2 linked regions of the Drosophila melanogaster genome follow. Changing the gene in region 1 together with any one later gene gives a genetic interaction. Each region holds a gene or a part of one and is shown on either strand. Other genes may lie near its edges.

Region 1 (5,471 bases):
GGTGGCCGCCTTCCACATTATATAATGCCGAATTGACAACGCCACCCAAAACGGCCACTCCGAGGCCCATTTGGCCAATGCGATTAAAGAACTGAGCAGCCATTATCCTTTGAATAAAACAAACGTAATGTATTTAGTTACTGTTCTATAAACTATATATGTAAATGAAAGCCGACTGGACTTGGAAATTTCATCAGTTTTTAGGTTAGAACGTCATGGTTTAATGACAATGTGCTGTTTGCGTGTTTTTATCCCCTGTTCTTCCTGGTCTTCAAACGCAGTTAGCTCGGCTCGCTCATAGACTCACTTGTTAAAGGTTTTTGGTTGCACTTAAATTAAATTATTGTGCAATTTTGCTCTTTGAAATGCAAAACACGAAATACAACCACACGGCCTGTTATCGATAATACAACTGTCGGTGGGGCCGCCATATATCGAAACGTACTAATAAGAATCGTATTCGATTGTTTCCTAAGATTATCGATTATCGAAATTTAAAAAGAATAATAATAAACAAAGCCAGTTTACAATATCAAACTACAAATGGTGAAATTTACAATAAAAGTTTATTATTAATTGAAAACTAAAAACCCCCTCAAAATTATTGCGCCATTTCGGCTCGCCCGGCGACTTTTGGCATCTTCTTGTTCGTCGAATCCTCCAGCTCCTTGGCCTTGTAGTAGTGCGGAGCCACCTCCAGCAACCACTTGCTCTCGATCTCTATAACCTGACGCATGTACTCCTTGGAGGTGAACACCAGCTCGTGATAGAGCACCCAGCGCGGCAGCTCCTCAAAGAGCGAGGAGTTCGGATGTATCATCACGGTCTGATTGTGCTTGATGGTCTTGTAGTGACCGCCCTTCGAGAGTCGCGCCACATGGTAAAAGTAACCAGCGGTGGCTGCCTTGCGCACGTTTACTGTTTCTGGCAGGCAGCTGACCATGTCGATCTCGACACGCTGCATCAGTCCCACCAGCTGCTCCCGCACGTCGCGAGCCCGCTTCATCGATCTGTACTGGATGAAGTTCTCGTAGCACCACTGGGTGCTGTAGTCCGTCTCCGCCCACTGATTGTAGACCTGCAGGAGGCTCAAGTGGTCGCCGTGCATGTGATTGAAGTTTTTTCGGGCTGTGTCCGCGTGAATGATTTTGTCCTTGGGCCTGTAGAAAATGGCGCTATTCACGGACAGCATGGCTGCAATGGTCACCATCTCCTCGGAGCATTTGTATCTAAAACAAAAATATACGAATATTATACGAATTATTTCACTTCTGGTTTGTTAGATCGATTACATACTTTTCGCTTGCCAGCAGCATCTTGCCCATCATGGGATCCACGGGAAACTCGGCCATCCGTCGACCCAGCTTGGTTAACTCTCCATGGTGATTAAGTGCACCCAGGGCATATAGCTGCTCCAAAGCCAATACCAGTGTCTCGTGCGGCGGAGGGTCCAGAAAGTCGAAGTGTATCAGATCATTGATGCCCAGAGCCTTTAGCATGAGCACCGCATTGCCCAGATTAATACGCTGTATCTCCGGAACGGTATTGTCCTCCAGTTCATGCTTGTATGCCCACGCCGTATACAGACGGAAGCACTTTCCCGGAGCAGTTCGTCCCGCTCTGCCCGCTCGCTGATTGGCGGAGGCCTTGGAAATGGGCACCACCATAAGCGACTCCATGCCAGTGCGGGAATTAAAATTGTTCTGCTTGGCAAACCCAGGATCAATTACATAAATGATGTTGTCGATGGTTAGCGAAGTCTCTGCGATATTTGTGGCCAGGATAACTTTTCGGGCATTCGGCGGTGTGGGTTCGAAGATTTTGGCCTGCATATCACTCGGTAGATTCGCATAGACGGGTATAACGATCAGCTCACGTATTTTGGAGCCCAGCCGCTTTACGCGATCATGCAGAACCTCCTGGCAAGTCTCGATCTCATCCTGACCCGTGAGGAAGACTAGAATGTCGCCCAAAGGTTGAGTGGCATGAATCTGCAAAACTGAAACGCAACACGCGTCGATGTAGTCCGCTTCCGGAGCCTTGGTGTAGAATATGTCCACTGGATAGCGGCGACCAGGTATCCGAAAGATGGGTGCATCATCGAAGAACGCGGAGAACTTTTCCGCATCCAGAGTGGCACTGGAAATGAGCAGCTTCAACTCTGGTCTAAAGCGAGCAATATCCTTGACCAGGCCAAACAAAATGTCCGTGTGCAGTGTCCGTTCGTGAGCCTCATCGATAATCATCACACTGTAGGAGGCCAAGTCGGGTTCCGAAAGGAACTCTCGATGCAGGGTGCCGTCCGTCATGTACTTGAGAATGGTGCGATCCGAGGTGCAGTCCTCGAAACGGATGCTGTAGCCCACCTCGTTGCCCAGCTTCACGCCCATTTCCTCGGCCACGCGTGCTGCCACCGACATGGCGGCCACACGACGTGGTTGCGTGCATCCGATCATCTTCTTGTCCTTGGTGAAACCAGCTTCCACGAGGTACTGCGGCACCTGTGTCGTTTTGCCCGAGCCTGTTTCTCCTTCGATGATGAGCACCTGATGTTCCTTTACAGCAGCAATCAGATCCTCCTTGAACGGATAAACGGGCAGTGATCTTCTGGTTTCGTCCAATGTCAAACGTTTGCGTTCCTTCTCCGTGAGTTCGGGCTGTCGGCTAGATGATTTCTCTCGACTTCCGTCCAGGGTAAGGGCTTGGATGAAATCGATTTGATCGTCAAGTAGCAGCTCATACTCCTCCTCCGCCTTGGCATCTTTCGCGCCGAAATGGAAACGCGCCGAAGCCAGCTGTTCAGCCTCCCATTTCTTCTGCTCTGAGTTGGGTTGCTTCTCAAACTCATCAACCTCAACGTATTCAGCTTAAGTGGAAAAATAACATATAAGTATTTATCGAGGACCAACGTACGTTGTCTACATACATCGCTCTCCCTTTTTCAGGTCCTGCGGCATATTATAACGCTGGATGCGCTCTAGTTCCCGCGCCTTCTCGTGCTCCTTGGCGATGTTCAGCAGTTGCTTCTTGTACTCGCGCTCCTCCTTCTCCCGTTTGGTCAGGCTGAAAGCAAACCAGGATTATTTGGATACCTATGTAGGTAAGGATTAAGCTATGATCCTACACGCTCTCATCGAAGAGGTACTCATCGTCCAGGATGTCCGCCTCCAGCTCGGCCACCTTGTCATCCTTGCGCTTCTCCAGGTACTGGCGACGCGACTGCAGACGCAGGTGAGGCACTATCTTGTCCCGATCCTCATGCTCAAGCTTCAGTCGCTTGGTGGCCTCCTCGATGGCCCTTCGTCCGCCGGTGGAATCAACCACATTGCGCGTCCGATCGTCATCCCGCTTCTTCAGCCGGCTGGCGAACTCGTCGCGCTCCTGCAGGTCCTTTAGGCGAGACTCTTCCTCGCTGTCCGGCTCCTCACCGCTGCTGCTGCTGCTGGCCGTGCGTTTTCTGTTTTTACCCGACATTTTCAAGATTGCCTATAAACAAACCGGCTAGCGATAGGTAATTCGATAACATGCAGTGCTGCCAAGCTAGCTATTTTCAGCACTGGGTGAGCAAACAATAATAATCAAATTGCTAAAAATATATTATATATATATATAATATTCTATATTTATTTTATTACAAATTATGTTTCTTATATTATAGGCTTATTTGTGGCAATAACTAGTTTTAAAGGACTTATGGGTACACCTTCATGGCACATTCAATTTTGTGTGTTGCTCATTTTTTTTTGCTCGAATTTATTAGTAGAGAGCATCACTGTTCCCCTAACAGCTGTTTAATTCGTTAAACTCACCTCAGTTTCATATCATGTCGCGCCAATTGAGTTTCAATCCGCAGAAAGAATATGAGTTGATCGAGTACCCCGGCCGAGTGGTAAATCCCGATCGGATGATAGCCACTCTGGGCGGCATCATCAATGTGTCTAAGGTATGGAATTCAACCTGGTCAGGCAATCGGGCAACTTGGCTGATATCTTATTCCATGCACAGGTTTTGGGCGACGAAGTGAAACGATTGGCGTTGCACTTCCATCCGGAGAATCCCTACAACAAACCCACTTTTGGGGACTGCACGGATAAGACTGGTGTCCTGCTATCCATAACCGTGAGGCGCCACAAAAAGGACAAGCAACGGCCTCCGGAATATTTTGTGCGGGTGTTGGGCCACTGCAGCAGGAGCTTCACCTTTGAAAGTGAGTAGATGGTCGGAATTCCATCCACGATATATTCTAATTTCCTTTTACTTTAAGCGCTTTGTGATTTCCAATACCTACCCCTCTGGTCAACTCCCAAAAGTGACAACGCAAATGCTGCCCAGGAGCTCACGTACGCTTTGGACCAGTTGAAACCCAAAAACACCACCGACTTGGACTACTTTAAGTGAGTAACTTGTCCATATTCGTGCTCTGTGCACCAAGAGAATGAGATCCTGGTTTGAAAGCTATATAGCATGTATAATTAATCATTTTAATGCTCAGTATGTAAAAGCATCGTATTTTTCCCACAGACGTCGCCACAGCCAGTTGCTGGCGCTGCCCGAATTGTTCACCCACGTGGACACTGTCTATGCGGGCACGTATCGCATCGATCCCTCAGAAGACGGCCAACATGAGGTGCTGGGCGTGCAGTCCAAGTCCTCCTACGACAACCAGGGCGTGGTCTCGTTCAACATGGTGGACAGCTTTCCCACCCAGGCAGACTCCCAAAACCTTAAACGACTCAAGGTCAAGTACGTTTCGGATGAGCAGCTGGCATTGGTCAAAAAACTTTTCGATGACTGCCCAATTTGGACCCGAATCGCGCTGCAATATGAATCGGGTTTGACCAACGACAAACTCAAGTGCATCACTCCATCGCTGGCATTTTACTTTAGCAACGGCCCGTGGCGCACTTTGTATGTTCGCTTCGGCTACGATCCCCGCAAGGACTTCAATAGTCGCTACTATCAGACTTTCGACTTCCGACTCCGATTCAGCACTGGTCTCTCCGAATTCGTGTATGCTAAGAAGTTCGTAAAGCAACGGAGGGCGGCGAACGCTCCATTCGCGCCCATCGAGGATCGAGTCTCTGATTTGGTTCAGGACATTGACTATCCCTACTTCGATGAGCACAAGCTGCCGCGCTCCAGGCAATGCATGCTGCGCTACTGCGACGTCCGTATGACGAGGATCCAGGAAATGTTGGAGAAGATCCCCACTCCACTTACCGGAGCTGTGTGCAATGAACGCACGGGCTGGCTGCCGCCGGGATTCGATGCTCAAGTGCGTCAGATTGTCTGCGCCTCGATCAGCGAACTTTTGCGCAACCATTACCGCAAGGAGAATCTTACAGCCGAAGTGGAGGCAGTTACCCAGGCCGACGAAGAGGATGAAGACGAGGCCGAGGACGAGGAGACGCAAGAAGAGGACATGGAGCTGGATGAGACGCAAGCTATGGGCAATTCGGAGCAATTCGTAG
Region 2 (5,268 bases), on another chromosome or scaffold:
CTTTGCAATGACTTTGACCAGATTTTGCATTTGATCAAGCTTGGTCTGGAATAAGCTTACATTAAGGTTCCTGGCGTGATTTTTGGTGTTTTCCTGCTCCTTCGTTACACTTATCAATTGTTCCTTGTCAATTCTATGCTGCTGCTTTATAATGACTGCAAGCTCTTCGAGAGCGGTTATCTTCTTAAGTAGGTACTCCACATTCAAATTGCTCCTTTGGTTCTTTTGCTTCTGCTTCACTATTTTGGCTAGCCGATCCATTTCCTGAACTCTTTGCAGCAAGCGCTTGCGGTCAATTCCAGTGTCAATTGTTTGAGGATTATTGTCTGACTTTCCATTGTTCAGCTTCAGTTTTTCATTCTCGGCCTGCAGGGATGCCATCTTTGCGCACAACAGTTGCGAAGCTTTGATAATCTCCACCTGCCATTTGGAAACGGATGCGGCGTACTCGTGCTGCGTTTCCAGCAGCACGCACTTGCACTCCTTGAGGTTCTTCAACTTGCGGTGTACATCAATGAAGCGGTCCTTTAGAGAATTAAACTTCTTGCGTTGCTCAGAGTTAAGTTCCTTGATGTTTTGGTACTTTTGCTGCAGCACACTCGACTCTTCTTCCATCGTGGCGACTTGCTGGCGAAGACTAGCGTTTTCCGCCTCCGCTTCCTTAATTTTGGCAATGTCCACTTCCAAAAGTTCCAGATTCTTGCGCTGCTCGTTACCCAGAGCATTGACCTGTTGCATAGCCTTTTCCATGCGATCCACATTGGCAAGGAGGGCATCGTTTTCATCACTCAGTCGCCCAAGTTGGCGCTTTAGGCTCTCGTTCTCGATCTCGAATTGCGTCAGTCGATCGGCATCCTCTTTGGTCTTTCGTTTCAGATTATTCACTTCCTCGGTGAGGATGAGGTTCTTATCGGTGAAGTCCTGGACCATTTCCTGCATGGCTGGCAGGCTGCTCTGCTTCTCCGCCGCCCGTTTAAGGGCATCCTTGAGTCGGTGATTTTCCTCGGTGAGTTCTGAAAGAGAGTGGCTTGCATTATTCTGGAAGATTCCCTGAAACTCTCCATCAAACTTACCATCTTTTGCCTGTTTCGCCTTTTTAGCGATGTTGAGCAGGCCTTTGTATTTGCTGATGATTTCATCTTTGCTCAGCGCCTCGATCGGATTCGGGTTCTTCTGCAAATGCAAATAACAAGATGAGACGTCATCATCAATTCTAGCGACACCTTTTTACTCACCTGGGTTTCCCTCGGTGATGCGGCTTCCATGTTACTTGCTATTTTCGTATCCTTGCATTTAATAGCGGTCCAAACATTTATGTCTTAACTCAGATCAGTGGTTTTCCAATTAGCAAGCGACCCAGATTACTCGAAAATGTTTTTGGACCCTTAATCAATCCGAGCGAAGAAAACACTCCAGCCACACTAACAGCTGATAGGGCTGTCATCACCGCCCAATTAGTGATGAGCGTCTTTTTTTAAGAAGGTGACGCAAAAACGGAAAAATTACTAATTAAAATTAAATGAAAGAATAATATTGTCTTAAAAATATGTGCTTTTTAAGGATTTAATTATCACTGTTGCATAAAAAGGGCTCAACTTTTTAATAAGTATTATGAAATTACATTTTGGTCCAAGAACGTTACCTTTAAAATTAAACAATATGATTCAATAAATTTGTTTCACTACTATTGGTGTTGTTCAACTATCGAAGGAACCTCAACTATCGATTAATGTGACCGCTCACCACTGACCACCACTAGCTCTGCAGTACAAGCAACATTTGGCATCTCTACTGTTTATCATTTTCTTGATCCGTTAAAGTGATGGATTTGAGTGATAATAGCCAAGTGGAGGATCAATACTTTGTTTACAAGCATGATAAGCTATTCGGCGAGAGTTTCCCCCTGTTCAAGGAAATCCGCAGGATGGGCAAGCTGTGCGATGTCACCCTAAAGGTTGTTTGCGTGCAGACTGGGGCATTCAATCACCCGCAGCTCAGAGATACGTTCATTATCTAGCGTCTAAATATAAAATGCCATCCCAATTATTGCAGGTTGAAGATCAGACCTTCTCAGCGCACCGCGTTGTGCTGGCGGCCACCATCCCGTATTTCTATGCGATGTTCACCAACAACATGGCAGAGAGTCGGATCAAGGAGATCACCATGAAGGAGAGCGCCATAGAGCCAAGTGCCCTGGAGAGTCTGATCAACTATGTTTACAGCGGCCAAGTGCGCATCGACAACCAGAATGTGCAGAACCTGATGGTGGGCGCCAGCTTCCTGCAATTGTCCAACGTGCGGGATGCCTGTGCCAGTTTCCTGATCTCCCGCTTTCATCCGCACAATGTCCTGGGAATCCGCACCTTCGCCGACTCCATGATCTGCCGGCAGCTAATCGACGCTGCCGACAAGTATATTGATCAAAACTTTGCCAAAGTCTCGCAGTCGGAGGAGTTTCTCGCCCTGGACTGCGAACAATTGCTGGAGCTGATGCGCCGGGACGAACTCAACGTACGCACCGAGGAGGTCATCTTCGAGGCCTGCATGAAGTGGGTCAAGTACGCAGAAGACAAGCGCTCTGAGCTCTTTCCTCAGGTCCTGGCTGCAGTGCGTTTGCCATTGCTCTCGCCTCAGTTCCTGGCGGACCGTGTGGCCCGCGAGGAACTCATTCGATCCTCGCACCAATGCCGTGATCTCCTAGACGAGGCCAAGGACTTTCACCTCATGCCCGAGCGCAGGGGTCTGCTGCAGAGCTTTCGCACGCGCCAGAGATCCGGTGAGTTCTTTACCGGACAAATATACGCCGTGGGAGGACTGGCCAGCACTGGGGAATCTGTGAGCACGGTCGAGATTTACGATCCGCTCACCAAAAAATGGAAAATGGGCGAACAAATGTCCATGATGAGGTGAGTGTGCGAGGAGCATTTATTTCTATTCTATCCCATACTAATTGCCAATTTTTCGACAGATCTCGCGTGGGTGTGGCCGTTCTGAATGGCAAGCTGTACGCCTTTGGTGGATTCAATGGCACCGAACGTCTGTCCACCGTTGAGGTCTACGACCCGCGCAAAAACAAGTGGTCCCAGGGCTGTGCCATGCTCTGCAAACGCAGCGCCGTGGGCGTGGCCGCATTGGATGATTGTATCTATGTGTGCGGCGGCTACGACGGCGTCACGTCGCTCAACACCGTTGAAGTTTACTATCCAAAGTCTAACACTTGGAAGACTGTAAGTAAACAAACATTCTATGTAACCCAGATGGGTAAGAAAACTGATCCAACTTTAATTTCACTACCCGAAGGTTGCTCAAATGATGAAATATCGTTCGGCTGGTGGAGTTACCCAATTGAACGGCTACGTCTACGCCCTTGGCGGTCATGATGGGTTGTCCATATTCGATTCGGTGGAGCGGTACGACCAGGCCGAAGATGTCTGGGTTAAGATGTCGCCCATGCTGAATCGTCGCTGTAGACTGGGCGTGGCCACGCTGAACGGAAAGATATACGTGTGCGGCGGCTACTGCGGCAACTCATTCCTTCGATCCGTAGAGTGCTACGACCCTCAGACGGACACCTGGAAGCTGGTGACACCAATGAATTGCAAACGCTCGCGGGTGGCTCTGGCCGCCAACATGGGCAAACTGTGGGCCATCGGCGGCTATGATGGCGAGTCAAATTTGTCTACAGTCGAGGTGTACGATCCGGAGACCGACAAATGGACCTTTATGCCGCCCATGTGCGCACACAGTGGTGGTGTCGGAGCCGGGGTCATACGGATCGAGTAACCCACTCGATTCGCCTGCCAAACCCGTTTCTCTAGCCACACTCGTCTTAGGTAATTTATGTGAATTGAATCGATATAGTTTAGCCTAGATATGATTGTTGAGGGTAACCAAGCTTTAGTGGCACCTCGTGCGGCCGCCTCGTATGCAACTCAGCTCAGCTCTTGCAGCTCTATCAAAATTGTTCATATACTACTCACAGCTCTATAGATTTTGTCATTCCAGTTATGTAATTGTTTAGTTACTACGCCTAGCCTTAAATACTCATTACAATATTAATCCTCCAAATAAAAACATGTATAACGCATGTTATGTAAAAATTTATTAATGGTTGGTTTATTTTTGTAAGACGGGTAAAATAGTCCTATGTATAACTAAAATCAATTTCACACCAATTTAAATCATATTTTATTTAATTTAATTTAAATTGAACTAGACTCTTAACATTAAAGTTATCTAAAGACGTATTCTTTGTATTCATTTTCAGTCATTACCCTCGCCATTTGTAATCTTGAAATGTTTTAGAAGGTTGTTAAAGTTCAGTAATTTCCTTACAGTAAAGGGACGACTGTCAACCTTTTGCACATCGTATAAATCAATTGTGTTTCGACGATCCATATGGGCGGCGGATACGTTTTATTTGAACAATAATAAATGGTTGACAAATAACAAAGCAATCTGAGCGACAAAAAGGCGAAAATGGCGAGGGCAGCGCAAAAAGTTGATGGTCAATAAGCAGGCCTTTATGGAAGGCAGTGCACTTGTTTATTGTCCCTAAAATACTTTCAGTTTTAATTAAAAATGATTAAATATTATTACCCAAGTCCCAATGTCTATCTACAATTTTCTACTTATTTTGTAACGAATAAATGTACCTTCCCTCGTTGCATCTCAGTTGAACATGCGGAGTATCTCTTCCCTTGATATTTGTACACCTCCCACGCGCGGAATGCAATTTTAAATTCGATTTGCACCACCTGCTCAAAGTGCAGCGGCAGCAAAACTAATTCGGAGCAACAGGTGGCAATGGCGCATCCAAAAATAGAGGCTAACGAAACCAAACCAAAACAAAATCAATTTGCCGTCTATCACTGACCCATAAAATGCCATACGCACAGCAAAGGGTCATAATCCAATCAATTGCACACTTAACGTACATATTTCGCAGTTATCAGATGGTTCCAGCGATGGAGGACCTTATCGCCGATCCGGATACGATCCGGTCCTGTTCCCGATTGCCAATGGCTACATGTATATTTATGTGGCTCTGCAGCGGCACGGCTATTTGCACAAGCGAAAAGGCTTTGTGGCGGCGGTCTTATTTGATTTTGATAATCAAATCACAAATTGCTTGTCTATCGATGGGCAATTTTATTTTAATTAAATGCTAATTATGTTTACCAAATGGTTGGAGTAAATATTTGTTGCATCACCGGGGACAATTGTTTATCACCACCAAACTGGAGCTCGTTTAGTTGGAAATCCGTC

Evidence for each region. Genes that interact genetically often act in the same process or in processes that back each other up.
Region 2: of l(2)37Cb (region 1) and KLHL18, changing one enhances a phenotype caused by changing the other (phenotypic enhancement), as found in Drosophila melanogaster (one study listed by BioGRID).

The regions. Positions count from the first base shown.
Region 1 is NT_033779.5:19,123,450-19,128,920, forward strand, and holds l(2)37Cb (lethal (2) 37Cb), read right to left. Parts: upstream 3,528-5,471; 5' UTR 3,475-3,527; coding exon 3,125-3,474; intron 3,064-3,124; coding exon 2,927-3,063; intron 2,867-2,926; coding exon 1,297-2,866; intron 1,230-1,296; coding exon 602-1,229; 3' UTR 549-601; downstream 1-548. Other genes in the region: Phb1 (prohibitin 1), read right to left, coding at 1-103; l(2)37Cd (lethal (2) 37Cd), read left to right, coding at 3,824-3,943, 4,006-4,207, 4,265-4,394, 4,522-5,471.
Region 2 is NT_033777.3:12,006,928-12,012,195, reverse strand, and holds KLHL18 (kelch like family member 18), read left to right. Parts: upstream 1-1,761; 5' UTR 1,762-1,822; coding exon 1,823-1,954; exon of another isoform or gene 1,955-2,031; coding exon of another isoform or gene 2,032-2,052; coding exon 2,053-2,906; intron 2,907-2,968; coding exon 2,969-3,227; intron 3,228-3,300; coding exon 3,301-3,783; 3' UTR 3,784-3,833; exon of another isoform or gene 3,834-4,095; intron 4,096-4,267; 3' UTR 4,268-4,720; downstream 4,721-5,268. Other genes in the region: GCC185 (GRIP and coiled-coil domain containing 185 kDa), read right to left, coding at 1-1,013, 1,074-1,173, 1,236-1,265.